Saccharomyces cerevisiae S288C: one gene and its partners. Changing the gene in region 1 together with any one later gene gives a genetic interaction. Each region holds a gene or a part of one and is shown in the gene's direction. Other genes may lie near its edges.

Region 1 (7,287 bases):
AGGCCTTGGAATTGGTACTAGAAGAGTTGTCGAGTTCAAATGGCGGAATGTAGTATCGTCTGTAAAGAGAGATTCATATCCTAGACCTTTTTTATAAAATGGATTACGGGAAACTTTATTGTCACCTGTGTCGCAGGCTAATATAACTTCTGGATCAAATGAAACTTCTAATTTATCCCCTTTATTATTAGAAGGCTCAATATATCTAGTATGCAATGTCACTTCATTCATTGTGCCGGCTTTCAATTCAAAGATACTTTCAGAACCCCATGCCTTATCTCGAAGAGAGTATTCTGGTAATTCTAAGTCGTCTTCTCCAAAAAGTAGTAAGGGAGAGGATTGGAATTTATCGATAAATAATTCTAACGGCAATTGCAGGTGCATTAGATACATGCATTTAGGGCGTTCTTCGAAATCTGTGAGATCAATCATGATTTTTGGATGCAAACCGATAGGTTCATTCAGATATAGTGATGTCGTAGTCGTCGAGTGATTGTATGCGATATGGCCCTGTTTATACAATAAGGATGTTTTCTGACATCTTTCCATTTTACCATCGTCCATCCTCCAATTACAACGTATTCCACCAATATCGACATCACTTTCATCACTTGCATCCACAAAGAATACACCTACTTCGAGTTTCTCATCTTTCACTCTTGCAATTGTAAATTCTTCACCCTGTTTCAACAGACGATATTCAACAATTTGGATTTGTGTGGGCTCCACTGATATATCATATGTAAAATCTTCTGGATTCCATGACAGATTCAAATCTACTTCGGGAGGCAAGTACTGCTCTATGTCAAACTTCTCACTGTGAAATGAATTGTAGACTGGGTTAGTAATAAACCTTTCCGGCACATCCGAAGAATTTGAGTAAACTGAAAAGCCAGCACTCAGTTCATTTTCTATAACGCTTAAACTTCTAGCCAAGTCCGCTCTGGGCCTCCAAGTGATTCTCGTAAAGGATTTATCCAAGCTTCCAGTCCTCTCTAATAGCCACCTTTGTTGTAAAACCACACCAGAACCTCCACGAACAGTCAAATGAGTGTCATTTTGGCGCATATGATTACCGATATCCTCAGGGGCATTGTAGAGTACAGTCACTCTATGTCTTGTCACCATTACTCAGCTAGAAACGCACACTTCTTGCGTTTATTCTCCTCCCGATTTGATTATGATTAGCGTTTCCATTATTTGATCTTTTTTATCAGGGGGATCTTCAAAGAAAGGAACTTTTTTTAGGAAAAAAAAAATAATCATCTTTTATTACATGTGTAATACTTCAAGCAATCATAAACAAGAGTTAAGAAGGCAAAGTTCTGCTGTTAGTGTGTCCTCCAATACTCTTGCACGACAAAGTTTTAGTTATCCCCTTCTACGTGTATTGTTCCTCCGTGGTCGATTGTGTTCAAAGATTGGGAGCTCTTTTCGTGTTTTGCACTAAGAGCATACTGTTAATCCGCAAAGGCCACTAAAACTTACCTGCATTTGTCTACTTAAAGATACATTCCAACTATTTACATTCATTTTTATTTCTAAAAGAGCATTCTGAACCCTCGGCAATTATTTCATACTCCTTCTCAGAATAGGAAAATGCCCAATACGCATACTCAACATGTGCAAATATCAGAGCCAAATCCTGTAAATACTTTGTCTACACCATCCAAAAGAGGTCACCGCCATCGCAGATCGCTAGCAATATCAGGAGATTTTGATTTTTTGAAACAGCCTGCAGCAATTGTGAATTTACCACCTCCACAGGCGGCTGAAAATTGTCCTTCAACTGCCCCAACTGCTGTATCAAGTACATTATCGCCAATACGCTACAATAGATTTCCTTGCAAAACCAATGAAGACGCTGGAACGTTAGATTTGCCTGAACCAAGATTTTATCCGTTATCACCAAAGAACAATCTGCAAACACCAAGTCCACGATTTTTCATTAGTGAAGAGCCAAGTTTTTCATCGCCAGTTAAAGGCGTCCCAGATGCCATTATTAACCTTGACGATGCGTTGAAGACAAGGCCTAGGTCATTTAAATCACATAGAAGATCTGAATCCGCTCCTCCTGATTTGGAGGTTATGGTAGATAAGGGCAATTGTGCAGCCGGTTCTAACTCTATGATTAAAGAAGAAGAGGACTCCTTAATTGAACCAGAATCGAAAAATGAATATTATGAGCAAAAGCTTCCAACAGCACTATTATCCCCACTGCGGCCTTCCCTTTGTGTATCTGAACAGGCCATTGATGTAGATGATTCAGCTCTCAATGGGTCACCGACCCATCACAACCATGGGATGCAAAACGCCAATGCACGGAATTCCAACACATTCAATTCGTTGAAGATCAAAGGCCAAAAGCAAAGATATTATCATTATACGAAGCAGCTACCTTTGACCGTAGGCTGTGACTCGCAATCTCCAAAAGAACAAAGGTCGGCTGCTTCAATGACAATCAATCAGGCAATGACACCTTCTTCCCTGGCCTATACCCCTTCTAAACTAGCATCTACTCCCGCAACACCAGTATCCTTTTATGACAGCAATGCGGACATTAACTTAGAAAGTGATAATTTTCCACTAAAAGATAACCCTAGATATGCCAAGGATGGTTATCCTAAAAAGTGCGGCAATTCACAGCTTAATCGTGTGCTGGATAGCGATAAAAGACAGGATTTTAGTGGAGAATCGAGAAGAAGAAGATCGGGCAGTCCTATCTCCCACATGCAACACCGCAACCTGATTGATAATATGAAAGGTAGACGAAACAGTAACACGATAAACTCAATCTTCAACTACAAGAGTCAACATTATGAAATGCCATATGATGATATGATGAAAAATGAAAACATTAATGCACAGTCCATGCCCTTTTCAGTCAACGGTGTCAACAATGAAAATAGTATCGGAGGGGTTATTACGAGAGCGGACGATGCACCCCTTCAACACTCTGTGGTCAAATCCTGTACGCCTGATGGCAAGGAAGAAATGAATAGGCTTAAAAGTAATGACAGTAATGAATATTCCAAGTCTGAAGGGCAGATCAGAACCAATTCGCAACTAAGTAAGGACATTCTCATGGGTGAACCAGGTGATATGGTTGATCTGTCCTCTTTTGTCAACGCGCAGAGAAAAGCCTCAAATGAAACTGGTGACTTAGTCTTTAGTTTATCCCAGGATGATGACGCACTGAAAACGTTCCATGCGAGCAACAGCGCAGCAACAAGCAATGAAAGCTGGTGTATTAGCGATGATGCGTTAGGAAAGCAGGCGCAGGACAGTGAAGTTAGGAGGAAAAGAAAATCCAAATTAGGACTCTTTAGACATATTTTTTCAAGGAAGTAATACAACAATATTAATAATAAGTAATAAAAAGGTGAATCGTAACCTTAACGGCATTGATTGCATGTAGTTTTAATAATAAAGTGTAGAATAATAAATATAAAATTTCAAAGTCATCAGAAATAAAAATTGAATAGACATATACATATAGAAATTACTTCTATCATTTAAATACATATATATACATACATGTATACGTGTATACTTGTACTTGTGAAGGACTCAATAGTTGTATTCGTTTGGTTTTTGACCAGAAGTGTTTGGGAAACCACATTCCAATAAGATATCGTTAATCAATTCAGGTTTTTCAGTAATCTTGGAGAAAACTTCATCATTTTTGGTTAAGATCATACCACAATAACCTGTGGAGTTGAAACCTATCTTCATTTCATCAGAAAAGGCCTTCGAGCGTGGAACGACACAGATCCATTCCTTGGTTAACATAAGATTGTAGGATTTCTTTAGTTCTGGATTTTCGTTCAACCAGTCCTGGAAAAAGGTCAAAGCTCTTTGCAATATGGAGATGTAACACATAGCTAATAGGTCTTCATCAACAGTTTCTTCAGACTCCGGCATTGGCAAGACAAAATGAGCGAACGAGACTTTAGCATCTTGCAAAGGTTCAGTATTGAAAGTTGGTAGGAAATGTTCTTTACCATTACATAGTCTATCTTGGAAAGTGACGAACTTTTCAGGCATTTGCAGAATTTGCAAATGTTTGTGGTCCAATGAAGAACCACTGGCTGGACCAGAATTGTAAAAGACCATGTGTCTCTTGTCGGATTCTTCATTGTCCAAGGCACACAGCAACTTATAAGCAGTCAATAAATCGGTTGGGGTCAAGGCATCAGTTTGATGTTGGTATTCGTTAGTTACCAATAAAGTGTGTTCAGGGATTACAGGGAATTTGTTTAATAGCAATTTATACGCTTTGTTATCGGCACCACCAAATTCTGGGATAACCGTTAATTCTTCCTCAGGTTTGCCTAGTGGATCCTCTCCTTCTGGAGTTTGGCCACGCTCTGGCTTTTCGATCAGACTTGGCATGTGACTAATCAAGTATGGCATGCTGGTTTTTGGGTCCTTTGTTTTCGTTGTTTCAGTCTGGATAAATTTTAAGTTACCATTATCGAAGGCACTTTTGTACTTGTCACTAATTAAAGATGCAATGTCAGCGGGGATACTCATTTTTATTTTAATTTTTACTTTTCTGTTTGTTCTAAAATCTATCTAAACTGGCTTTCAAGATCAATCTATTGTCTTTTAAGGTAAACTTTAAATTGGAAATAATAGTAATGTTAGTTCCTTCATTTTAACCTTGTATTGTATTTCCTTTGCGTGATGAAAAAAAAACTGAAAAAGAGAAAAATAAGAAAATCTTCTAGAACGTTCCGAAACAGGACACTTAGCACACAAATACAGAATAGGAAAGTAAAAGGCAATATATGAATGCAGTGCTTGTAACTGGTGCTTGTATCCAAGAATAGCTTCTTGCTGTAGGTTATGGGAATATCGTGTAAGCTGGGGTGACTTTTGAGCTATTCGCGACGCCCGACGCCGTAATAACTACTTTCGACAGACCACTTATGACAGTATTTCAGGCCGCTCTTATAAAATGACATGTTAACAAACAGTTCTGATTATTCGCCTTTTGACAGGACGATAATGTAAATAGTTGTGGTAGTATCATTCAGGTATGTAACTGTTTACTTTGTATCGCTTGAAAAAAATAAGCATTTCAGAGCCTTCTTTGGAGCTCAAGTGGATTGAGGCCACAGCAAGACCGGCCAGTTTGAATGCTCAACTCTTCAAAAGAAATTCCTCAAATATGTCCAGTTTCATGTACTGTCCGGTGTGATTTATTATTTTTTATTTACTTTGTAGTTCTTAAAGCTAAGATTTTTTTCTTTGATAAATTCTTGTTTTCATATCCTAAAATTAAAGGGAAAATAAACAATACATAACAAAACATATAAAAACCAACACAATAAAAAAAAGGATCAAATACTCATTAAAGTAACTTACACGGGGGCTAAAAACGGAGTTTGATGAATATTCACAAGATAAAAATCATATGTATGTTTCTGATATATCGATATACAATCAAACACTTTCAAGAATTTGTTTGTAGACTTTTTGCTAGAGACCTCATCAAAGTGCTACCAACTAAGATCAACTTATACTTCTTTTAGAGAAAATTTTTTTCAATGTACTCCAAAGAGATTTAGATCCTGTCTCTTCCTCTTCCTCTTCCTCGAAAGTCAAAGAAAAATCAGAGTCTCCCTGCTTATTCAGGCGGAGAGGCTCTAGGGTAGTTGCGTTTCTCTCATTGGGACACTGAACCTCATTTTCCAACATTTTGGTCATGTAAGAGGCGACAGGCTCATCGCAGGTGGGTGCATCAACATGGTAGTACCTGGACCAAGCGCTACATTGAGTCCCTCCTGGATAAACACCGCTACAATATTGTCTTTGGACGTTTGCCCAAACCATATCTTTTGAATACCAAAGCTGGACCACATTGTATGGCCTAATCATTGGTGCTACCATAATACTGGATTGGGAAACAGTCTGGTTAATTTTTTTCAACCAATTTTTCTTATCTAGCAATGATTTAATAAACCTGAAATCTAAATTGTCTTCGTTAGCGTCTGTGTCATAATCTACAATTGAGTACTGTGACGTCCAATTATATGGCACCGAGATGGGGAATCTGTCCGGTGTTTCGTCGCTGTTATCCTTCTCCTCCCTCCAAATGCAGTCAGAGGCAGGTGCCCATTCGGTTCGCCAGTCTCCGTTATTTACTACTTGGTACTGTTCCCAATCGTAATACGTTTCCTCTGGGTTGAAGATACTTGCTCTGCTCTTGACATTGCCCATAGCCACACCACGAGAAACATCGTGGAAGATTACGGAGCTGTTTACGATAGCAGGAGCAATGGATTTGACGAATGACACTTGATAAAAGTCTTTGGTCGAAAATACAGTATCAACGCCGTCGTGGGACTCGACCCCTGGTAGAAGAAGCAGAGCATCTAGATCAACGGTAGATGCTGCAGAGGTCAAAGCCACAAAGAGGGAAGATGCAGTTACGAGGTATTTACTAAACATTGGTTCGAAGTGATTACAGATTTTTCTCTCTTGAACCCTGGAATTGCAATAGCTTGGTTCCTATTGGGACCGGACCCTCTTGCGTAAAGTATATATTTAGAAGCAGCTATTTAAATCTGAATGCAAGACGAAAAAAAGCTCGTTTATAGGAGAAAAATACCAAAAAAAGGAAAACCATACACATTCGGGTATCCCAGCTTTGCTTGCAAAATCAATCGATGAGCAAGACAAACAGGGCCAGCTGATGCATATGTTTTGTGTTGCTTTCCTACGATCAGCTAATGCGAGTGTTATAAATATTCCCCTAGTTTTCTTCTCCTCCTTTATGTAACAATAACTTGTGGACTTCCCCAACATAAGACTAAAAGCAAAGGGATAACAAGGGATTTATCTTATTCCATCCCTTTGCCTAGCGCACTGTTACGCAGCTGATCTTATCAACAAGTGTGGTTCTTGCCTCTAAGATTTACATTGCCTTTTCCCAAAGGGAAGGTGGGACAAAACTCATTTTCCCTAAGGGGAAACGTAAGATACCCTTTAGGGAAGATAAGGGAAGTTAGTAGATTGACGACGTAAATCTGTGATGAGATGAAAAAAAAAGATTAGCATCTATATAAGAAAGTACATAACCTCCATTTAAGTTGAAAAAAATTTGTATGTAATGTCTTTTCTTCCTCTTTTCTTTATTTCATTCTCACCGCTAAATCGATAACGGCTAAAACAATTAAAGCTCCCTTTTCAAACCTTATACTTCCGTTAAATAATGCAAATCAAAAACATTGTCGCTGTTCTAGCTACAGTCACTGCTATCAACGCCCAAGTTGGCAT
Region 2 (7,781 bases), on another chromosome or scaffold:
AATATAATTGCATCAGACTGCCTAATTTGAAGAGTAGTTAGCTCCGAAAGGTACGAAACCTCCATTTGATTGGTATCAAAAACTTGAACATCAATACTGGTGCGTCTTTGAGCAGTCGATTTATTGGCATTGATCAGGCGCTCTTCTAGGAAATTGCCACAACTTTCATAAATTGTGCCAGAGTTTTTAGCTTTGAAACCCGCATAATTCGGCAACTGTCCTTTTACGCCAAAGGTACGATAGTATTTTACCAAAGTATCAAATTGGATTGTCTTGTGGTAGAGGTCCGAAACCCTATAACGATTAGCATCTGATATTTGAAATGAACTACCTAGCCAACTGCGAACCAGAGAAGTTTTTCCAGAATGATCATCCCCCATTACAGTAATCTTCGAAGATTTCAAGTCGAAACATCTTGGGATTGACGCAAGGCTTGCGCCGTATGATAAGCGAACACTCATAGCGTTTGACCTAATACGGTATAATTAAAAGAAAAAAAGACAAAAAAATAGGATAGCCAACACAGAGCAGAACCTTAACAATTTCTCTAGATACAATTTACATGCTCAGCGTTTCTTTATATACATTCTCCCTGTATATATTCCTTTGAAAATTTCTTAGATTTTTTTGAAATTAAATAATAAGTAACGAGCCAAGATCGTTAAGGTAAGTACTTGAAAAGGATTTTTCAAAGAAGGCAAGCATAGACGATCTCTACGACATTTTTTTTTGCCCTTGATGTTCTTATGAAAAACAACTTCTACAAGTTGTACTTATCAGAAGTGCAAAAAAAAAAAATTGTTTAGACGACAAAAATAGCGTTTAATAATCAAGGTCATGGCTTTTAAACAAAGCGTTAATCTTAATCCCTATATCTCCTCTAAAATGGACGTAGCTTTTACAAAGGGATATTACGCTTGAGTATCCCTTTTGAAGATCGTTGCACCATTACGTATTAAAGCATTTTTTTTCCTCCGTCAAGATCTTACCCGAATACTGCTGCAGGACATACAAAGCGCACTGACATGACGCAGGAAGATTGATTAGAACCGTCCGCAAAATTTTCTTTGTTACAGCATTAGTAACGCATCACCTCCTTCTCAAGCTAGGGCACTTTTAACTCATAAAGCGACACATTGCCTTTTCAAATATTGTAGCTTTTCAAATCACGCAATGGAATATTTGCAGCATTCATTGTTCCGTCAAAAGTAAAATTTATTTTTAGTACTTCAACGTGGAAGGCAAACCTTGCCTTATACCTTTACATGGATGGTTTTATGCTATTGTGAAACGAAGTCAAAAGGCTAAACAAAAAGATAAAGGAGGGGCATATTATCGGACCACCTCGTATAGCAAGAAAGGGTACTTATCAAAAGAAAAGGTCGCTGAAAATCGAGCCCCTCTTGAGAATTTGATTTTCATACATATCCCTTTTCTCTTCCGGGTTAAAGCCTTTACATAAATGTGTCATTGTATAGCATTACTTTTTTTTTGGTGTGAAAAAAAAATCGGAAAAATATTCACAGGGTAATGCTGAGATAGCTTTTCTTACCCTCCTTGGAATTTGGAATATTTCGAGATTTCATCATTTAGCCCAAAAGGGTAATTGCGTAAACATTTGTAATTTCTTGGTGTATTTGTTTTGATTGTTCATTGTTTATGACCAGCTACTTTATTCATACTCTTCCACACTACTTTTTTTTTCTTGATTACATCTCGAATCCTGCGAACTTCGTGGTTAGAAGATCATAACAAAGTTAGACAGGACAACAACAGCAATAATGACCGGCGGGCAGTCTTGCAGTTCTAATATGATCGTCTGGATACCAGATGAGAAAGAAGTTTTCGTAAAAGGGGAGCTGATGAGTACCGATATCAACAAGAATAAATTTACAGGCCAAGAAGAACAAATAGGAATTGTCCACCCGTTGGATTCCACAGAGGTTTCTAATCTAGTGCAGGTACGAATATCCGATGTATTTCCAGTTAACCCATCGACTTTTGACAAAGTAGAGAATATGTCTGAGTTAACCCATTTGAATGAGCCGTCTGTGCTTTATAACCTAGAAAAGAGGTACGATTGTGATCTAATATACACCTATTCCGGCTTATTTTTAGTGGCGATTAACCCTTATCACAATTTGAATTTATATTCTGAAGACCATATAAACTTGTACCACAACAAGCATAACAGGTTATCAAAGAGCAGATTGGATGAAAACTCCCATGAAAAACTGCCGCCGCATATATTTGCAATTGCAGAAGAAGCCTATGAGAATCTTTTATCTGAAGGAAAAGATCAATCTATTTTAGTCACTGGTGAATCCGGTGCGGGCAAGACAGAAAATACGAAAAAGATTCTACAATATCTAGCATCTATAACTTCTGGCTCTCCTTCCAATATAGCTCCTGTTAGTGGTAGTTCTATTGTAGAAAGCTTCGAAATGAAAATTCTACAAAGTAACCCTATCTTAGAGTCTTTTGGTAATGCACAGACTGTACGAAATAACAACTCTTCAAGATTCGGTAAATTCATAAAGATAGAATTTAATGAACATGGTATGATCAATGGTGCGCATATCGAGTGGTACCTTTTAGAGAAATCAAGAATTGTTCATCAAAATTCGAAAGAAAGAAATTATCATATATTTTACCAACTATTATCCGGTTTAGACGATTCTGAGTTGAAAAATCTACGCCTTAAATCTAGGAACGTAAAAGATTACAAAATTTTATCCAATTCTAACCAGGATATTATACCAGGAATCAACGACGTAGAGAATTTTAAAGAACTGCTCTCGGCATTGAATATTATTGGGTTTTCAAAAGATCAAATAAGATGGATATTTCAAGTAGTGGCAATTATTTTATTAATCGGTAACATTGAGTTCGTATCAGACAGAGCAGAACAAGCATCTTTCAAAAATGATGTTAGCGCAATTTGTAGCAATTTAGGCGTGGACGAAAAAGATTTCCAAACTGCCATATTAAGGCCTAGATCAAAAGCCGGAAAAGAGTGGGTTTCACAGTCCAAAAACTCTCAACAAGCTAAGTTCATCTTGAATGCCTTATCAAGAAATCTTTATGAGCGGTTGTTCGGATATATTGTGGATATGATTAATAAAAACTTGGACCATGGGAGTGCAACTTTGAATTACATTGGATTGTTGGATATTGCTGGTTTTGAAATATTCGAAAATAATTCCTTTGAACAATTATGCATCAACTATACAAATGAAAAATTACAGCAGTTCTTTAATAACCATATGTTTGTTTTAGAACAGAGCGAATATTTAAAGGAAAACATTCAATGGGATTATATAGATTACGGAAAAGATTTGCAACTGACGATTGATTTGATCGAAAGCAAGGGGCCACCGACCGGTGTACTACCGTTGTTGGATGAGGAAGCCGTTTTGCCCAAATCCACTGATGAGTCATTCTACTCTAAACTGATCTCAACTTGGGACCAAAACTCTTCAAAGTTTAAACGTTCAAGATTAAAAAATGGGTTCATTTTGAAACACTATGCTGGGGATGTGGAATACACTGTGGAAGGCTGGTTATCCAAAAACAAAGATCCTTTAAACGATAATCTCTTGTCTTTGTTGTCTTCTTCACAAAACGATATCATTTCAAAACTGTTCCAGCCAGAGGGCGAAAAATCTTCTAGTGCTGGTGTGGAAGCCAACATCTCCAACCAAGAAGTTAAGAAATCAGCTAGGACAAGTACCTTCAAGACTACATCATCACGCCATAGAGAACAGCAGATAACATTACTAAATCAACTAGCTTCTACCCACCCACATTTTGTTCGTTGTATAATTCCAAACAACGTGAAAAAAGTGAAAACATTTAACAGAAGGTTAATCTTAGATCAATTACGTTGTAATGGTGTGCTAGAGGGTATTAGACTTGCCAGAGAAGGTTACCCAAATAGGATAGCATTCCAAGAATTTTTCCAGCGGTATAGGATCTTGTATCCTGAAAATTCAACCACCACGACTTTCAGTTCTAAATTAAAAGCCAGTACCAAACAAAACTGTGAGTTTCTTCTAACGTCTTTGCAACTGGATACAAAAGTTTATAAAATTGGTAATACTAAACTGTTTTTCAAAGCTGGAGTATTGGCAGATTTGGAAAAACAAAAAGATGTTAAGCTGAATAATATTATGATTAAACTAACAGCAACTATACGAGGTTACACAGTAAGAAAAGAAATAACGTACCATCTACAAAAATTAAAGAAAACAAGGGTGATTGGTAATACCTTCAGATTATACAATAGACTGGTGAAGGAAGATCCTTGGTTTAATTTATTTATCAGGATCAAGCCACTTTTAACATCATCCAATGACATGACCAGAACCAAAAAATTCAACGAGCAAATTAATAAACTGAAGAACGACCTTCAAGAAATGGAATCTAAGAAGAAGTTTTTGGAAGAAAAGAACCAAAAAACTGTCAATGAGTTGGAAAATACGCAGGACTTGCTAAATCAGGAGAAAGAGAATTTAAGAAAAAATGAGAGCTTATTAAATAGAGTTAAAACCAGCTCAGAAACATTACAAAAACAATTCGATGACCTTGTTTCTGAAAAGGATGAAATTAGCAGGGAAAAACTAGAAGTTGCGCAAAATCTTGAAGAAGCTCATCAAAAAATCCAAGGCCTTCAAGAAACTATTAGAGAACGGGAGGCGACCTTAGAGAAATTACACTCAAAAAATAACGAACTAATAAAGCAAATATCAGACTTGAACTGTGACATTTCTAAGGAACAGAGCTCCCAGTCTTTAATCAAAGAATCTAAATTGAAGCTAGAAAACGAAATAAAGAGATTAAAAGATGTCATAAACTCGAAGGAGGAAGAAATAAAATCGTTCAACGATAAGTTAAGTTCCTCAGAAGAAGATCTTGACATAAAATTGGTCACTTTAGAGAAAAATTGTAACATTGCGATGTCAAGACTACAATCCCTTGTAACAGAAAATTCAGATTTGCGTTCGAAAAATGAGAATTTCAAGAAAGAAAAGGCAGCACTGAATAACCAGTTGAAAAATAAGGAAAGTGAACTGTTAAAGATGAAAGAAAAAATAGATAATCACAAAAAAGAGCTTGCTACTTTTTCCAAGCAAAGAGATGACGCAGTTAGCGAACATGGTAAAATTACTGCTGAACTAAAAGAGACAAGAATCCAACTTACCGAGTATAAATCTAACTATCAAAAGATTAAAGAAGAATATTCCAACTTCCAAAGAGAAACGAAGGAACAGGAGCAAAAGAAAAGAAATAGCCTGGTTGAGTCTCTGAACGATAGTAAAATTAAAGAATTGGAAGCTCGGTTGTCACAGGAAATATCCTTAAATCAATACTTAAACAAAAGAATATCAGGAAATTCTGTAGAAACGAATATTTCGTCTACTAGACGTTCCACATCGTATTCAGATGATCCACTTGACAAAGAAGATATAATAAAAAAATACTATGACCTTCAATTAGCGTTTACTGAAATAACTAGGAATCTAGAGAATGAAATTGAAGAGAAGAAGAACTTAATTTCTAGATTGAGATTCACTGAAACAAGACTAGCATCTTCGTCTTTTGAGGACCAAAAGATTAAGGCACAAATGAAGAAATTAAAAAAATTGATCCAGGATATGGACCCTAGTATTCCTTTGGACAGTATTCTAAATGAGCCGCTAGATAACTGCCCTGACAAAGAGTCTGATATTAACAAATTAATGCTTGAGGTCGATTATTTAAAAAGACAATTGGATATCGAAACAAGAGCTCACTACGATGCAGAAAATGCCATATCTGCTTTACACAGTAAATTTAGAAAGATCCAAGGGGAAAGCTCCCTGTCATCTTCTGATATTTACAAACTGAAGTTCGAAGCCAGTGAAGAAAGAGTCAAATCCTTGGAAGACAAGCTAAAAACCATGCCTTTACGTGATCGAACAAATTTACCTGTCGGAGATATTATAAAGAACCGTGATAGCATTTCAAAATATGAAGAAGAAATTCGCTATTATAAACTTGAAAACTACAAGCTCCAAGAAATATTAAATGAATCAAATGGAAAATTGAGCCAACTCACTCTTGACTTGAGGCAATCAAAATCCAAAGAAGCCCTACTTAGTGAACAATTAGACAGATTACAGAAAGACCTTGAATCTACGGAACGCCAAAAAGAACTACTATCATCCACAATAAAACAGCAGAAACAGCAATTTGAAAACTGCATGGACGATCTGCAAGGGAATGAACTGCGGCTAAGAGAACATATTCATGCACTAAAACAAGCTGAAGAGGACGTAAAGAATATGGCGTCTATCATTGAAAAATTGAAAACTCAAAATAAGCAAAAGGAAAAGTTAATCTGGGAGCGCGAAATGGAAAGAAATGACTCAGATATGCAATTACAGGAAACTCTGCTGGAGTTGAAGAGAGTCCAAGATGTAAAGAAAATCCTGAGTGATGATTTGGCCCATTTAAAGGAGCGATTGAGCGCTGTAGAAGATAGATCCCAATATACGGATGAGATTAATAGATTAAAGGAAGAATTGAACTGCTCTTTAAAAGCTGAAACAAACTTAAAAAAAGAATTTGCAACCCTTAAGTACAAACTGGAAACTTCGACTAATGATTCTGAAGCAAAAATCTCCGATCTGCTGAAGCAGCTCGATCATTATACAAAAGTGGTGGAAATGTTGAACAACGAAAAAGATGCTATTTCTCTTGCAGAAAAAGAACTTTATCAGAAATACGAGGCACTCAATACTGAATGCGAGTCTCTTAAAGGAAAGATAGTGTCTTTGACTAAAATCAAGCAGGAACTGGAATCTGACTTAAATCAAAAGACTGATGCGCTACAGATATCAAACGCAGCACTCTCAAGTTCCACACAAAAGAATAAAGAGATTACTGAAAAAATCAAATATCTGGAGGAAACACTACAACTGCAAATGGAACAAAATTCAAGGAATGGGGAGTTGGTTAAGACATTACAGGCCAGCTGCAATGGATATAAAGATAAGTTTGATGATGAGAAGCAGAAGAATATTGATTTATATGAAGAAAATCAAACTTTACAAAAGCTCAACACCGACTTACAGCTTCAACTAAAAAATTTGCATGAAAGATTATCAGACACTACTGAAAAAAACGCATGGTTATCAAAGATTCATGAATTGGAAAATATGGTAAGCCTAGAAACGGACTTGAAATATGAAGAAATGAAAAAGAACAAGAGTTTGGAGAGAGCAGTGGAAGAGTTACAAACTAAGAACTCCCAACAAACAGATGTAATAGAACTAGCGAATAAAAATAGAAGCGAATTTGAGGAAGCTACTTTGAAATATGAGGCTCAAATCTCTGACTTAGAAAAGTACATTTCTCAACAAGAGCTTGAGATGAAAAAATCCATTAGAGATAATTCTTCTTACCGCGACAAAGTGCAGGAAATGGCCCAAGAAATTGAATTCTGGAAAAGCCGTTATGAATCTACCATGATAGGCTCGAAAAATATTGATAGTAACAATGCACAGAGTAAAATTTTCAGTTAACGAACTTTTTTTTAAAAATTTGGAAGACTTTATATCCTTTATTTAAAAAAATAATGATGAGATGTTTTGTATATACAGAATGAGAATATGCATTATTAACAGAAAAAGACGACACGAGCGTTATATACTAAGTGGCATGAACTCTTTCACCCCGTATCCTTCGATAGTAGTCTTAAAGGTGGTACATAAAATAAAGAAAATAACCGATTCAAT
Region 3 (7,850 bases), on another chromosome or scaffold:
CCTTTCTTTACTTTCAGGATAAAGACATACATTCTACGTATGATCAAGAGTAAGGAACAAGAATATTAAAAAAAACGAGATGAACCTTGAGTATATATATATATATTTACACCAATGTGCCCTACGAAAATAGTGAAAAAAAAATTTCAGTTGCAACCGCGTTTTGTCCGTTAGTATCTTTTGTCCGTACACCTCGTACTAAAAAAGAAAACCAGTCCAAAAAGAAAGTCAAACGGTCCAAATCGGAAACACCGACGCTCAGCTTAATAAACATTGTGTAGAGCCAAGCGGAAAAGAATACCATTTAGCCGCCGATGCAGAAAACCGGTATATAGAGCTGAAAACAAAGATTGAACTCTCCAGACAAGTTAGAAGTAAAAGCAAGTAATATATAAGTTTTATAAGTGAATATTCGGTCGAAGGTAGTGTCAAAGTTACATCACCAAAACTACTTACTATTGAGGAAATATCAGGTGTGCCAATACGTTAATTGATCTGTGAATAAAAAACGAAGTTGGAACATTGTATTACCTTTCAAATATGCCATAAAAGGTTGCTCGTCGACTAAGTAATTAATCGATTATAAGAGGGAAAAAGCGGGGTAAGTAAAATGTAATATCATCATATACGATATACATACCGCCTGTGGAATCGTTCAATTGCTACACATGTCTAACTAAGGACGTACTGTCTATATGTTTGCTTAAGTTGGCTCTGCACAAAATAATATCAGAGCCTTCCACTGGGATACAGATGCTTTCCCATAATGCTTTAAGGGCCTTTGATTGTTCAAAGGTGATTATTTCACGAAGATGTCTAACCTCTTCAACATCGATATACCAACAAAGCAGCGTTCACTTACAAGAAACAGATGATGGACATTCAGGAAATAGAGAAAAGCACGTCTCACCGTTTGAAAGGGTACAAAATTTGGCTGCTGATTTGAAGAACGAGTTGAAAGCTCCAGATTCAGATATCAATGAAGTTTTTAATGACTTTAAAGATAAGATTGAATCGTTGAAACAGAAATTAAGGAACCCTTCACCTATGGAAAGATCACACTTGTTAGCGAATTTTTCTTCGGATCTCCTACAGGAATTAAGTTACAGAAGCAAAAATATGACGCTAGATCCTTATCAAGTATTAAACACATTGTGCCAATACAAATTGGCACGCTCACAACATTTCACGATTGTTTTAAAGTACCTTCTATATAATCAATCACCACAGGACGTTATTGCCTTATGGGTGAAGTACTTGGAAACCATTTCCGAAAACCCAGTGATCTTACTTCAAAATAGTTCTTCTCGTGCACATATGCAAAATATTGCAATTACCACCATTGCTTACTTATCTTTACCAGAGAATACTGTGGATATCAATATTCTGTATAAGATTTTACAGATCGATCGTAAAATGGGCCAGGTTTTACCTTTTAACATGATTAGAAGAATGTTAAGTACAGAATTTAGCTCTCTTGAAAGAAGAGACGTGATTATCAAAAATCTAAACACTTTGTACTATCAATACACAGTACAGGATAGTGATCATTTCTTAAGTCAAATTGAAAATGCTCCTAGATGGATAGATTTAAGGGATCTTTATGGCCAATACAATAAACTTGAAGGTGAGAAAAATGTAGAGATCATAAGCAAGTTCATGGACAAGTTTATTGATTTGGATAAACCCGACCAAGTTGTTACTATTTATAACCAGTATAGCAAGGTTTTCCCAAATAGTACGTCGCTGAAAGATTGTCTTTTAAGAGCTGTGTCGCACTTACGAGCTAAATCGAGTAAAGAGAAGTTGGACAGAATTCTAGCAGTCTGGAACAGTGTTATCAAACCAGGAGATAATATTAAAAACACATCTTATGCGACGCTAGTTAACGCACTAACTGATTCTGGAAATTTCAACCATTTAAAGGAATTTTGGGAAGAAGAACTTCCTAAAAAGTTCAAGAAAGATCCCATCGTGAAGGAAGCATTTCTCCTGGCCTTATGTCAAACTTCGCCTCTAAAGTATGACCAAGTCAAAGGGGAGTTAGCAGAGACTGTTAAAACCAAGAAGTTGTTCAATAAAGTTTTATTGCTAATGTTAGATGATGAAAAAGTGAGCGAAGAACAATTCAACACATTTTACTATAACCATTATCCATCAGATGGTGTGTTACCCCCTACTTTGGATACTCTAAGCATTAAAATGTACGCTAATTATAAATTTCAGGCAGAAGATACACGCCCACAATTCGATCTATTGCAAAGTGTTTCCATTAATCCCACCGATTATGAAAAGGTTGAAAAGATTACGAAAGCCTTTATTTCAGTGTGCCCCACTGTCGAGCCGATTCGTCAACTTTACAAACAATTGGGAACTCACTTAAATGCTAGGAATTATGCAGACTTTATTTCCGCAGAGTTTAATAAGCCTGACGGCACAGTGGCCGAGGCAAAGAATTTGTTTTCTGATTTTCTCTCATATCAAAAGACTAGAAAGAGAAACGTGGATAATACGCCTCTAAATGCTTTATTATTGGGGTTCTGTGATAAACTTTACAAGAGTAAACATAGCGAGTACGTTCCCTACATCGAAAAGTACTACAATCTAGCTAAGGATTCAAGTATCAGGGTGTCGAACTTGGCCGTTTCGAAAATTCTATTCAACTTGGCCACATTTGCACGCAATACTCAGCAGTTATCTGACAAAGAGGTTGCTTTTATTAACCAGTTTATGCGAGATTTAGGCACTAATGAGGGTTTTCGTCCCAACCCTAAGGATATTCAAATTTTAAAAGAATGTGATGGAATTACTGTTCCAGAAAAGTTGACTTAATACACTTGTCATAAGAAGACAATAAGAAAAGCTCAGAACCAATTTTCTGCACATATGATGCTGTAACTATATAATGATTTCTTGTATATAACTTCCGTATAATAGTTATTGCTTCCATGCATGATTCTTTCAAAGAACAATACAAAATAAAAATAAAAAAAAAAAAAAAAAATGAAAAAATGAAGCTACAAGTCGGGTAACAAAAAGTATTTCAAGATCTCTAAATATAAGTGGGCAAATAAAGTTAATGCCAAAACTCCATGCTACTTTTCACCTGAACTTATTGGGGGGAGTTAAGTCTATAAGTATCCGTAACGTATGGTAGCGACATCTTCAAAGAGGACGTTGGATCCGAAGGAGGAACATTTGCCTGCTGACAAAACATCCACTAATTCAAGCAACACTATAATATCTGAGTTGGCAACACAAGAGAAATCCAGCTCTAGTGGTACTACACTAAAATTAATAGCTCTTAATATCAAGTCCATATCAGATGAAGATGTGGGATATATCCAAAATGTTGAAAGACTGTCTTTAAGGAAAAATCACTTAACATCCTTACCAGCGAGTTTCAAGAGGTTATCAAGGCTGCAATATCTGGATTTGCATAATAACAATTTTAAAGAAATCCCATATATTTTGACACAATGCCCTCAATTAGAGATCTTGGATCTGTCCTCCAATGAGATTGAAGCATTGCCAGATGAAATATCATCGTTTTGGCAAGATAATATTCGTGTATTATCATTGAAAGACAACAACGTTACTAGCATACGTAATTTGAAATCGATCACAAAATTAAACAAGCTGAGCATCTTGGATTTAGAGGATAATAAAATACCCAAAGAAGAGCTTGACCAAGTACAGAGTTATACTCCATTTCATACGGGCATCCCCAAAGAAGAATATTGGGCAATTGCGATATCACGATATCTAAAAGATCATCCTAACCTACCTACTCCAGAACCTAAAATATCTAGAGCAGCGAAAAGAATGGGATTCATAAATACGAACTTGTCTAATGGAGCAATGAATGAAAACAATATAATTTCACTTGCCCCAAGTGCAAATACAACTATAAGTGCATCTACTGCAATGGTCTCATCTAATCAAACCTCTGCAACATCTTTCAGTGGTACAGTCAATGCAGAATCAGAACAAAGTGGGGCAGTGAATGGTACGGAACTATACAATCACACCAAATATAATGACTACTTCAAGAGGTTGTCGATTTTACCAGAAGAGTCAATGAGTAACGGGCATCAAAAAATATCGCATGCAGAGTTGGTTGTTTCCTGTCGGAAGCTCCTATTTAGTTTTACAGAATGCCAACAAGCTATCAGAAAAATCGCCTCTTTCTGTAAAGAGAAGGCCGTAGCGGTTAATGTAGTATCATTATTATACTCTGTCAGATCACATACTGATAATCTGGTGGAGGTCTTGCAGCAAACAGAGAACGAAGACGAATCGCATGATCAGGCGTTAATCAAGCTGTGCCTCACTATCATCACAAATTTTAAACAAATTATAACATTGTTGAGAAAAAATTTTGAGATTTTTTTCAAAGAAGACGATCTATGCTTCATAAGGATGTTTTATATGACATTAATGTGTGCTTATATGGAAATGTATAATGCATGGTCTTTTATCAAAGAAGATGATCAAGTGTCCGGTTCTGCAAGTAAGGCACCCAAGAAACATTCTTTTTCGAGGCACGAGACATCGTCCAGTAGTATCACAAGCGGTGGAGGACCCGCAGCAAGTACGACCAGTACACATTGTAGCGGAAACATAAAATTACTGCCGAAAACAAGGAGCACAAGAACACCATCTGCATCTGCATTGCTTTCAAATAGTAATATTCTGACGGGTGATACCACTGCTGTTCCTCTTTTATCACCAAATCTAAATGGTGCACACACCCATGGTCCAATTTTGGGACACCAAAATGCAATAAGCAATGGAAGTTCTCAAACGAACATGAATGAAGTAAAAACTACTAGCGATACTATTCCAAGGCAACAGCTGCTTCAGCACAATAAATCCATCAGCGATTCGAAAAAAGAGTCACAGGCGCATGAACCTAAACAGCATCCGGTTATGACTTCTTCAATAATTAACGCATCAAATAGTAATAACGTCTCGAATGTTAATATAACCCCACCACCGATGAATGGTGGTGGTGCCGCGAACAGTAGTGCTAATGTAGTGGAGACAAATATTGACATTCAACTGTATCAAACGTTGTCCACAGTAGTTAAAATGGTGAGCGTTGTATATAACCAGTTAACTTCAGAGATATCCAAGATAGCCATTGCTAGCACCATGGGAAAGCAAATTTTGACGGACTCGCTAGCACCTAAAATTCGTGATTTGACGGAAACATGTCGTCAAGCGATGGATTTATCCAAACAATTGAATGAAAGGTTAAATGTATTAATACCGAACGATTCAAATTCAGAGAAGTATCTGACATCTTTGGAGAAGCTGAAAACGTGGGAGATAATGAATTCGTTCTTAAAAGTAATAATATCAATTCTGGCTAATACTAAAATCGTAATGAGCGACGTGCCTAATTTGAATGAGCTGAGACCTAACCTAGCCAACTTGGCGAAGATTACCAAGGATGTCACTGTGATATTGGACTTGAGTTCATACAAGGCTGTATCAGTAAGCGCCAACTCTCCGGAGTAATATAAAAACTTGCATTGTGAGAAAACGCGAACTTTAGAATACGTAATGGGAGGATCATATACCCCATGGTACTGAAATGTATGCTTTATATATATATATATATATATTTATATATTTATGCATGAAAAATGAGGAGTTCGGAAACAGAAGTTTTAAAAGTTACAGATTTATTGTATAAAAGATACACGCCACTGGTTGAATGTAAATGTTAAAATGAATTGGCATGGTCTAAAAATCCCTCGTAAATCTTGCTTAATTCATAATGGTAACCATGGATACCCTGGGATTCCAAAAATATGGGTAGGCGAACTCTTGTTCGTTCCGCGATACCTTTTAACCTCACAATATCAGTCCCATTCAATCCTGCTATGTTCTTGCTGGCTGAAGACGTTTTAGGGACTTCTTTGCAATTATCATTATCATCAGTTAGAATTACAAATATCCTGTCAAGGATGAAGAAGAGTTTGAATAATTTGGATAAAGTGTCATTAATCTCTGAGTCTTCCATATTTTTGAATGTAAATTTTTCAACGTAATCGATGAGATCGTCCGCAATTTTTATTAAATAGGACCCTTGACCAAAATAACTAGAATATCCGCATGTATCTTTTGGGTTTCGGGAATCTGGGCAATGTCTCTTTTCTTCTGATTGAAGTAAATAGTCTGAGTTTGGAACATGGGCAATAGAATACCAAACGAAGTCAACTAAAGTTTTTAAATCCTGCAGCAGCGGAGTAAGACTGGCATAGCCGTTTTTGATATTCAGGCCCCTGGATTGAACAAATTTTCTTTGAATTTGTAAAAGCTGATCATCAACGTAAGAGATGAATTTGGATTGTTGAGACATTGACAATCTTCTCGGGTGTGACGTTCCATTGTGATCATTTGGCAATAATTCACTCAGCTTTGTGGCAGACGAAAAGGGAGAAGACACGTTTATTCTAGGCTGGAAATCGTCAACATCATCGAGCATAGTTACGTCGTTGATTGTGTTGTTAGTTTCATTGTAAACATCATTGAATTCTGGTGTATGATATCTTCTTTTCTTATTACAATTACGCTGCCATATAACGTTGTCTATGTTAGAATTTACGACATCACCTGAGTCTGCACTAATTTCTACATCTGAGTTTGGATCCAAGTTTAAATCATCAATGTCTTTTTCATCTAGATCATTTAAGTTGTTCAAGTCCAGTTGCTCATTCGGTTGAGCATGTAATGGTGTGTTTGGCTCAGACATCAAAATACTGTGTTGAAATCTTTTATTTTTATAATATTTCTTTCCTTACCAGGGCTTGGAGTCTCTACAACAGTTAGCTTACTGTTTATTCTGCCACATTTCCACCCTTTTGTGGGGCTTCTATTTCAAGGACCTTCATTATGGAAACAGGGCGAGGTTGTTTGTTCTTCCTGCATGTTGCGCGCAGTGCGTAAGAAAGCGGGACGTAAGCAGTTTAGCCATTCTAAAAGGGGCATTATCAGAATAAGAAGGCCCTATGAGGTATGATTGTAAAGCAAGTGGTGTAAAATTGTGTGCTACCTACCGTATTAGTAGGAACAATTATGCAAGAGGGGTCCTGTGCAAATAAAAAATATATATCTAGAAAAAGAGTAGGTAGGTCCTTCACAATATTGACTGATAGCGATCTCCTCACTATTTTTCACTTATATGCAGTATATTTGTCTGCTTATCTTTCATTAAGTGGAATCATTTGTAGTTTATTCCTACTTTATGGGTATTTTCCAATCATAAAGCATACCGTGGTAATTTAGCCGGGGAAAAGAAGAATGATGGCGGCTAAATTTCGGCGGCTATTTCATTCATTCAAGTATAAAAGGGAGAGGTTTGACTAATTTTTTACTTGAGCTCCTTCTGGAGTGCTCTTGTACGTTTCAAATTTTATTAAGGACCAAATATACAACAGAAAGAAGAAGAGCGGAATGAGACCGTTGTATAGCTGCAACCTTGCAACCAAAGATGATATTGAGATGGCAGGTGGCGTAGCTCCTGCTCACCTGGAAGTTAATGTAGGCGGCTATAATACAGAGCAGACAATACCTATAGTAAAGCATCAGCTCGTGAAAGTTGGGAGAAATGATAAGGAATGTCAACTCGTTCTAACGAATCCCTCTATCTCCTCTGTTCATTGCGTGTTTTGGTGTGTCTTTTTTGATGAGGATAGTATTCCAATGTTCTACGTTAAAGATTGTTCTCTTAATGGAACGTATTTGAACGGTTTGCTTTTGAAAAGGGACAAAACGTATCTTTTAAAACATTGCGACGTTATTGAATTATCGCAGGGAAGTGAAGAAAATGACATTAA
Region 4 (7,884 bases), on another chromosome or scaffold:
ATGATAGTGGCATAGATTTGAACGGCAAAGATCAAACGAGGGGAAACCTTCATGTACATGGCTAATTTCAAATCTCTACTCAAATTCAAGCCTTGTCTCATGACAATAAATCCGTATAGCTTGAATAATAAGTTTGCCATTGGTCTTAAAGGCAGCATATAACCGCAGATCAATTCTGTGATAATATTCAAACCTACGTGTTGGTTAGTCATTGCTTCCAAGATACCTTGCGGGATGAAATTTACAAGGGAAATTAATATTGCAATAACAAATGCCCAAGCTGGGAACTTAGTATCGAAACAGCACACTGCTACAAATCCTAAACCGATCATGACAATCTGCAAAAGTAAATACCACCAATCGGGACAATCCTTATAGTTCTTGGAGTAGATTCTCATGTGAATGTCAGTGCCACCATTTTTACGGTCTTTAAACTTGGCGACAATATCTTTACCGTGGTATAAGATGCAGTGGACAAAAACGGCGATAACAGCGGCAAAATTTAAAGCATACGACAAAAGATAGGAAAATGGAACGAATACCGGTGAGTATTCCTTATATTTCTCAAGATTAATGGAATAATCCTCGTTAAGAATCTTTGTTACGTTGTATTTGTTTTGAGTGTTGTCATAAGTAGAACCTGAAATGACGGGCATGTATTTGGCATACCAGGTATTCGTAAAATAAAGACATGGCAGCACTATGACGAAGAATATCAACACTGATGCATAGGTGTTGGCGGAGACGTAGAATGGTGTGGCGAAAACAGAGCCGGACATGGCTTGGGAAACCTGGGTGTAGTCAAATGTAATTGGCAACGCACCGAGACCACTTTGAGTACCAAAGATTGTGTTAGCGATGAAATTGTGTCTTGTCTTCGACCCCCATAGGATAACGTTGAAATAGGACAGACCGGTAAAGAGGAATCCAGGTACCCAATACCAGATGAACGATCCGATAAGGACGATTAAGAAGAACCTGTAACGGGGCATCGTCCAACCATTTGCGACTGTCTTTTCAACTTTTCTCGAGTGCAACGAATCAAACAAGGACACTGAAATTAAAGTCTGAGGCCAGATAGAGCTTGCAGGGTTGACGACCCATCTTCTGGTAAGACCTGCAGCACCATAACCAATCATTTGAGATGTCCAAACCAACAAGAACTGATATCCGACATTAAGTTTCATGTTGTAAAAGCTTCCCTGGGCGTTCAAAATGTACATAGCGTATGCAGTAGAGGAAGTAAGCGCCACGGCAATTGTGACCACGGCGTGTTCCTTTTTGGTAAATGGGCCCGGGTTTAAATCGAAAAATGGCACTTTAGAACACTTCCAGTCGGGCAAGAGAGCCAGTATCCTACCAATTGGGTAGCAAACAACTTGTGCAACAAGGAAGTTGATCTCTAGCGATGGATATCTCAGGGAAAAAAATTGATTAACACCGGCGAAAACTACCACAAACACCGTGGTCAAGAACCACGTTCTCCAGTGGTTGAGGCGGATGGTGGGGTCATCCTCGATGGACACCGCCGATCTCACTTCAGGATATGGAGAATTGGGCAAGTATGTAGGGTCGCCCTTCCAAACGAGACCTTCCTCCTGTATGGAATGCCTGTCGAATTTTTGGCTTTCCGGATCGCGGTCCTCCTCATCAGTAGTCGCAGTGAGATTATTGACGTCCTCGTCAATATTCTTAACGAAAGCATCTTTCTTTTCCTCTTCCATATTGATCTGGATAGGAATGGTTGTTGGCGTTGGCGAGGGCTCCGACTCCAACGAGTCGCTCTCCCTATAAATGGTACTCATGTGTTCTGTGACGTTATATAATTGTTGCGGTTATTTTCTGCCACACAGTCGAAAACTTTTTACCAAGAATACACAGCTTCCGATGATTGTCCATATATAGTCGAAACAATTCATTGAATAGCCCAAAATTTGAAAAAAAAAGAAAAATGATGGGCACCCCATGATGATAAGAGCTCTCTTTCTTCAACAACGATTGCTAAGGCGTTTACAGACCCATCGACTGCCCTTGCAGTGGGTTTGATGTGATTAACAGGCAGCAGCAACAAGCAACTGCTGAAAACCTTGGTGCCTTGCAGACGGCTATTGTCCTGGATTTTGTGTGACAAAACGTAGATGTGGCGTCTTGTAGTCGGAGGTGTGGCGGGCCGGAAAAATAGTGGAAAAAAAGAAAATTAATGCGATAGCGACGGGCAGGTAGGGAGGTTTGAGGGGTCCGTAGTATGCGTCTATCGTTGCAACAAGGGTGACTAATGCCATGTCTTGGCCTTTGATGCAACGTCTCGGAAGTTAGTATCGATCCGAGGAGTGGAACGGATGCGATTTCCCCTCCATTCTATCGATAAGGTTGCTGGGAAACGCATTATAAGGGATGAGTGAAGACGGAGGGAAAGCATAACGAGGAGAGATTGCCGAGATAACTGAGAAGACGTAATCTAAAGGCAACGCAGCATGTCTCGAGTTGCACAGCTCGACTCGATAGCGCTTGATAAAGAATTGTATGGACAGTTTTGGTCCGAGTTCAATGCAGCATTCAATACGAGTGAACACAAAGAGGAATGGGAGTTGGCACTGAACACAGTTGTGTTTATGTGCGCGACGAGGTTCCTGCCACACTATGGCTCTAGCTGTACGTATGGATCCGCACTCAGTGGCGTGGTTTTTCAGTGCAGGAAACGCACCTTGTATGTCGTCACTGTCTTGGCAGGGTACGTGTGGAAGAAGATCACACATATTATTTTTAATGGGCCGCACTGTGGGAACCAGATGATGTGGCTGAAGCTGTACAAATGGGTTAATTTATTGTATCACGGCTGTGATGTAACCAACTTCCTGAGGTTTCTAGCAGCGGAAGGGCCCAATGCGAGGGCGTTTTTGTCGCCGTTATACCGGGCTTTTAATGTCCATTCCACAAGGTTGATTCGGGATGGTTCTGCAATTGCCTCTGAATTTTATTCGAACTCTGTATTCGCTGGGTTAGAATACCAGAATAGACAATTGCTATGGAATGCACTATTAGAACTCTTTTCCAATACACTACTTACGAAAAGAGGACTCTTGACCTTTGTTAAAAAACCACCAAGGTCTCGTTCTACGACTACTTATAAGACAGTTTGCCCCCGTTGCGGCGGTTTTCCAACCAACCCATACCAGATCGCTTGTTGTCGTGCGAACTACTGTTACGTGTGCGTTGTAAAGGCGTTGGAGTGGTCTATGTGCGATGCCTGTGGATCCTCTGGGAGACTGACCGCCTCACCAGTGTACTAAAGGGCCCCGTTCCCTCGCTTGTATCTCTATATATGTGTATACTATATTCATATTCATGTTGTCAAAATCGGTCACGTGGTAAAGGGTCTGGTTTTTTTTTTTTCACTTTCTGCTCAAGAAAAAAAAGAAACAATAAAGAAGTGGTATAATATCATCATGGAACGCTGTACGGGACGATGTGGGAAGCGACGTCTGAAATCCAGTAATAATAAACAGTGAGCACTTTAGGATAGCAGTAGTTTGCATTTTGCACGTTTCCCTTTCCATGCAATGTTTTTACCTCGTCTCGTTCGGTACAGGACCGAGAGGTTTATAAAAATGGTACCTACCAGGACCTTGCGACGAATCAACCACAGCAGCAGGGATCCAATTCAAAAACAGGTCTTGGCCCTTATCAAAGCAAATGCGAATTTAAATGACAATGACAAGTTGAAAATACGGAAATATTGGTCTGACATGGCGGACTACAAAAGTCTTCGGAAACAAGAAAATAGCTTACTGGAAAGCTCTATATTACACGAGGTCAAGATCGAAGATTTCATCAGTTTCATCAATCGCACAAAAACCTCATCTATGACTACAAGAGGAATTTATAGAAGAGAATGTTTGTACCAATGCAAGAAAAACTTGGATCTAGTCAATCAAGTGGTCTCCCAAGTTTCATCCGTAAGACATCAAAAGCCCTTGACTACGCAATTGGATACTATGCGCTGGTGTGTTGATGATGCCATCGGCACAGGAGACATAGTTATGGCTGCCGACCTTTTCCTGCTGTACTACAGATTATTTACAGATGATAAAAAGCTAGACGAACAATATGCTAAGAAAATAATATCAGTATTAGCGTACCCAAACCCACTGCATGATCATGTTCATCTAGTCAAATATTTACAACTGAACTCTCTGTTCGAAAGTATAACCGGAGGCGGAATAAAGTTAACGAGGTTTCAATTAGAAACTCTTTCTAATAAGGCCCTCGGCTTAAGTAATGAAGCCCCGCAATTATGCAAGGCTATACTGAACAAACTGATGAATATAAACTATTCTTTGACTAACGATTTGAAGCTTCGGGATGATCAAGTGCTGCTTGCGTACAAGTCCATTGATGAAAATTATAGAAGAGGAAATGTTGCAAGTGTGTATTCTATTTGGAACAAAATCAAAGAGCACTATGTTTCCATTTCTGCACATGATTCCAGAATCATTTATAAAGTCTTCAAGATTTGTACCCATAATAGAGCCTATAGATCTATATGTAGCGAAATGTTTTGGCAATTAACTCCAGAGTACTATTGTAATAACCCTTTGATATTACCGGCAATTATTGACTTCATTACAAAGCAAGACTCTTTAACAATGGCCAAGGAACTCATGCAGAACATTAACAGATACACTTTACCCGAAAACCATCATATTGTCTGGCTTAACAAGAGATGTCTTTCTTCATTGCTAAGAATGCATTTGAAATTTAACGATTCTAACGGTGTAGATAGGGTTTTGAAGCAAATAACAACAAATTTCAGGGCGCTTTCGCAAGAAAATTATCAAGCAATAATTATTCACCTTTTCAAAACACAAAACCTCGATCATATCGCTAAGGCAGTCAAATTACTCGATACTATACCCCCCGGACAAGCAATGTTAGCCTATGGGTCAATAATTAACGAAGTAGTTGATTGGAAATTGGCTTCAAAGGTCAAGTTCACCGATAATTTGATGGCACTTGTAAACGATTTGTTGACGAAGGCACATGATTTTGATCCTGACCACAGAAACTCTCTTTGGAATGTGGTTTCCGCTTTATACATTAAAAAACTTTGTCATTATAAAAAGCGAGATGGTAAATTTGTTGCCAATGCCAAGAAGGATATCGATTTGGCAAAACTACTTTATATAAATGCTGCAAAGAGAAGTAAAACATACTGGACAAAATCGAACTGTAACCCATTCATTGCATCCTCCCCATGTGATGTCAAATTAAAAGTGAATAATCAAAACAGGTTTACTATTTTAAGGAATATTGCATTAAGCGCACTGCAGATAGGAAGAACAGACATTTTTCTTTGGGCGTGCGCAGAACTATACCAGAACGGTATGACGATTGAGGAATTGAAGTTAGACTGGAATTTCATCTTAAAACATCAAATTAGAAATTCAGAGTTCAAAACAAACAAGGAGATCATACAAGATATTAAAAAGCATGGTGTGTCGGCTGTCAAACGTTACTTAAGATGAACGGCCAAACGCACATTTACGATATAAATAACAAAGCAAATAATAACAAAACAAATTTCTGTAAATATATACTAAATCCAAGCATTGCATCCTAATTCTTTTCTTTTTTTGATCATCAAATAAATGTATTATTTTATGTTATATGCGTTAGACTTGTTATATTCTTTCATGCTATTCTATCGTTGTGTTATGAATTAATTTATATTTACAGTTTTTCAGTACATTCAATTCCTTTTTTTTGGAGGAGGTAACAATTTCACATCTTTCGATTGTTTGATCGCCGCGTTAGAGAAATCTCTCACTACAATTTGACAATTTACCTCTTTGCATAATGCCTTCTTCTTTGAAGGTGGTACTTTTTGCAGAAGTTCTAGCCCAGTACTTCTCTCTAAAGCATCTATAGGAACTTCAAAGTCAGTCAATTTCGTCTCATTTGATATCGGTTCGTTTGGCAATACAAATGCCGCGACAGCAATATCCTCTCTAGCAGGATTGGCTGTTGGTGCTTCTGCAACAATCAATTTAAAAAAGTGCGTTGGAACAGCAATACTGGGTGGATTGCCAATAACTTCATAATTAACCCTAAATTTATTATCTATGGGATCCTTTTTGGGTAGATACAATGGACCAGTCACGATTCTTACACTCTTATATTTCTTAGTCAATCCCCTACAAAAGTACTCCAAATGCGCCCAATAGTCTCTATTAAAACCTTCTCCTACTTGAGGACACATATTGGATAAGTAGAATGTATCATCCATGGCCTGTTGAGAAAATTTTGCGTCTGCAGCTGGGGCTTGATGGCCTCGATCATAGCCCGACCTAAAATAGTCTCTTAGTTTACCTCTAAACTTTTCTGGAATTACTTCATCTTCCTTGAAAAAGGAATTTTTTCTGTCAGCATTCCTTGCAGCCAATGATTCTGGCGTTATATGTTCGAGGACCCAATAAGGATTTTGAGTTTGTCTGTTGTAACATGAGATAAACTCTTCGCGGTTCTGCAGATCATGAATCGGACCAGGAAAACCATACTTGAAGAACCCGGAAGGATCGACGTTGAAAGAGTGAGATTGAATATTACTATTAGGTTTCTGGGTAGGTGGATAAGGTGTCTCAATGATTTGCGTTGGAGAATGTTTGTTCAAAAGAAGATAGGTTAAGCCAGTACCAGCACCCAGTCCGACTAAACCGGACAAGAGTATCCTACTGCACATGATAACTTTAACTTTGGGATCTAATAAGTGGGGAACTTAACTAAATGTTCTTATCTTTATACAATTGTAACTCTATAAAAACTAACAAATTACTTGATGAGTGACCAATAACCAATTGCACCATTGATATTTTTTCACAGATTTTATTTTTTTTTTCTTTTTTCGCGATGAGTTTTATTTCCGTGCATATGCATCCGACTTGCAATTAGTCGAAAGATTTCAGTTGAAAGGCCTCTTCGACAGAGCCCAAAGACTGCGATTTAACGTATGCCTCCATCACGGAACCTATAATTGCTTTTTGTTGAGGACTTATAGTGCTAGAAATGGCTTCTTTAAATGAATTTTTGTCCAATTTAGCCAAAGCAACTATGCCACTTGCTACTTCGTTGTCTATTTTCTCTGTATATGCGCTATGATATGCGGCAAAGAAAGAAAGACATAAAGCAATTGACAATGATGCCTTTTGGTGATCTTGTTTGATTACTTCCTCGGAAAACTGAATTATCAACTTAGTTTTAATGCTTGCCTGCGATAAGGAATCGTTTGTTTGAATATCTTGAAAGAATCTTTTTATAACCAACTTCATAAAATACTGCAACAACGGGTATTTGAAAATATTAGATATTATTCTCTTGAAGCCTTGTAGAGCAATTGGCTGCGTAGCAGGATTATTCAATGCCTCCGAGAGAATATTTGCGCACTGATTCAGTTCCTGAAAACTTAGCTTAGAGTATCCATTAGACAGCAAGATCAAAATGGTTGCAACTTTATTCTTTGAATCCAGCTTATGATAAATAACATCTTTTATTGACCCGTAGAATATTTCTAGTAACACAATATTTTTTTCGTCCTCAGATTCCGTAAGCGCTTTTACTAGTGCCTTGAAAAGTGGGAGTATGATTGGAATTATTACTTCACGATGACTACATTCATAAATTTTCCCTATGATGAATAAAAGACATGAATAAAGATCTACTTTGAACATATTGTCGAAGTTACTGATATTTGATTCGAACGCAATAAATGTTTTTTTCAACAGACTAATATCTGTGGGAGAGATTTTTATTTCATTATCATCTTCTTCGCTGGTAAGCACGTTATACTTAATAAATGGCAACCTCTCAGAAATAATTGTCATCAGTAGT

Evidence for each region.
Region 2: mutations in LRE1 (region 1) and MYO1 impair growth when combined (synthetic growth defect), as found in Saccharomyces cerevisiae (one study listed by BioGRID).
Region 3: mutations in LRE1 (region 1) and SOG2 together harm fitness more than expected from each alone (negative genetic interaction), as found in Saccharomyces cerevisiae (one large-scale study listed by BioGRID).
Region 4: mutations in LRE1 (region 1) and CBP1 together harm fitness more than expected from each alone (negative genetic interaction), as found in Saccharomyces cerevisiae (one large-scale study listed by BioGRID).

What each region holds. Positions count from the first base shown.
Region 1 is NC_001135.5:34,266-41,552, forward strand, and holds LRE1 (Lre1p), read left to right. Parts: upstream 1-1,599; coding exon 1,600-3,351; downstream 3,352-7,287. Other genes in the region: PBN1 (Pbn1p), read right to left, coding at 1-1,128; APA1 (bifunctional AP-4-A phosphorylase/ADP sulfurylase), read right to left, coding at 3,571-4,536; YCL049C (uncharacterized protein), read right to left, coding at 5,521-6,459; YCL048W-A (uncharacterized protein), read left to right, coding at 7,223-7,287. UniProt on the Saccharomyces cerevisiae protein: Overexpression affects chitinase expression, cell separation and budding pattern, and increases trehalose accumulation and heat resistance by inhibiting protein kinase CBK1.
Region 2 is NC_001140.6:149,885-157,665, forward strand, and holds MYO1 (myosin 1), read left to right. Parts: upstream 1-1,781; coding exon 1,782-7,568; downstream 7,569-7,781. Other genes in the region: YHR022C (uncharacterized protein), read right to left, coding at 1-461; YHR022C-A (uncharacterized protein), read right to left, coding at 1,333-1,422. UniProt on the Saccharomyces cerevisiae protein: Required for cell division.
Region 3 is NC_001147.6:996,129-1,003,978, reverse strand, and holds SOG2 (Sog2p), read left to right. Parts: upstream 1-3,150; coding exon 3,151-5,526; downstream 5,527-7,850. Other genes in the region: MSC6 (Msc6p), read left to right, coding at 754-2,832; TFIIH complex subunit TFB6, read right to left, coding at 5,735-6,766; serine/threonine protein kinase MEK1, read left to right, coding at 7,468-7,850. UniProt on the Saccharomyces cerevisiae protein: Required for proper cell morphogenesis and cell separation after mitosis. Functions in the RAM (regulation of ACE2 activity and cellular morphogenesis) signaling network and is required for proper ACE2 localization and CBK1 kinase activity.
Region 4 is NC_001142.9:34,445-42,328, forward strand, and holds CBP1 (Cbp1p), read left to right. Parts: upstream 1-3,560; coding exon 3,561-5,525; downstream 5,526-7,884. Other genes in the region: oligopeptide transporter OPT1, read right to left, coding at 1-1,805; PEX2 (ubiquitin-protein ligase peroxin 2), read left to right, coding at 2,475-3,290; NUC1 (ribonuclease), read right to left, coding at 5,750-6,739; AP-1 complex accessory protein LAA1, read right to left, coding at 6,945-7,884. UniProt on the Saccharomyces cerevisiae protein: Responsible for conferring a stable 5'-end on cytochrome b mRNA.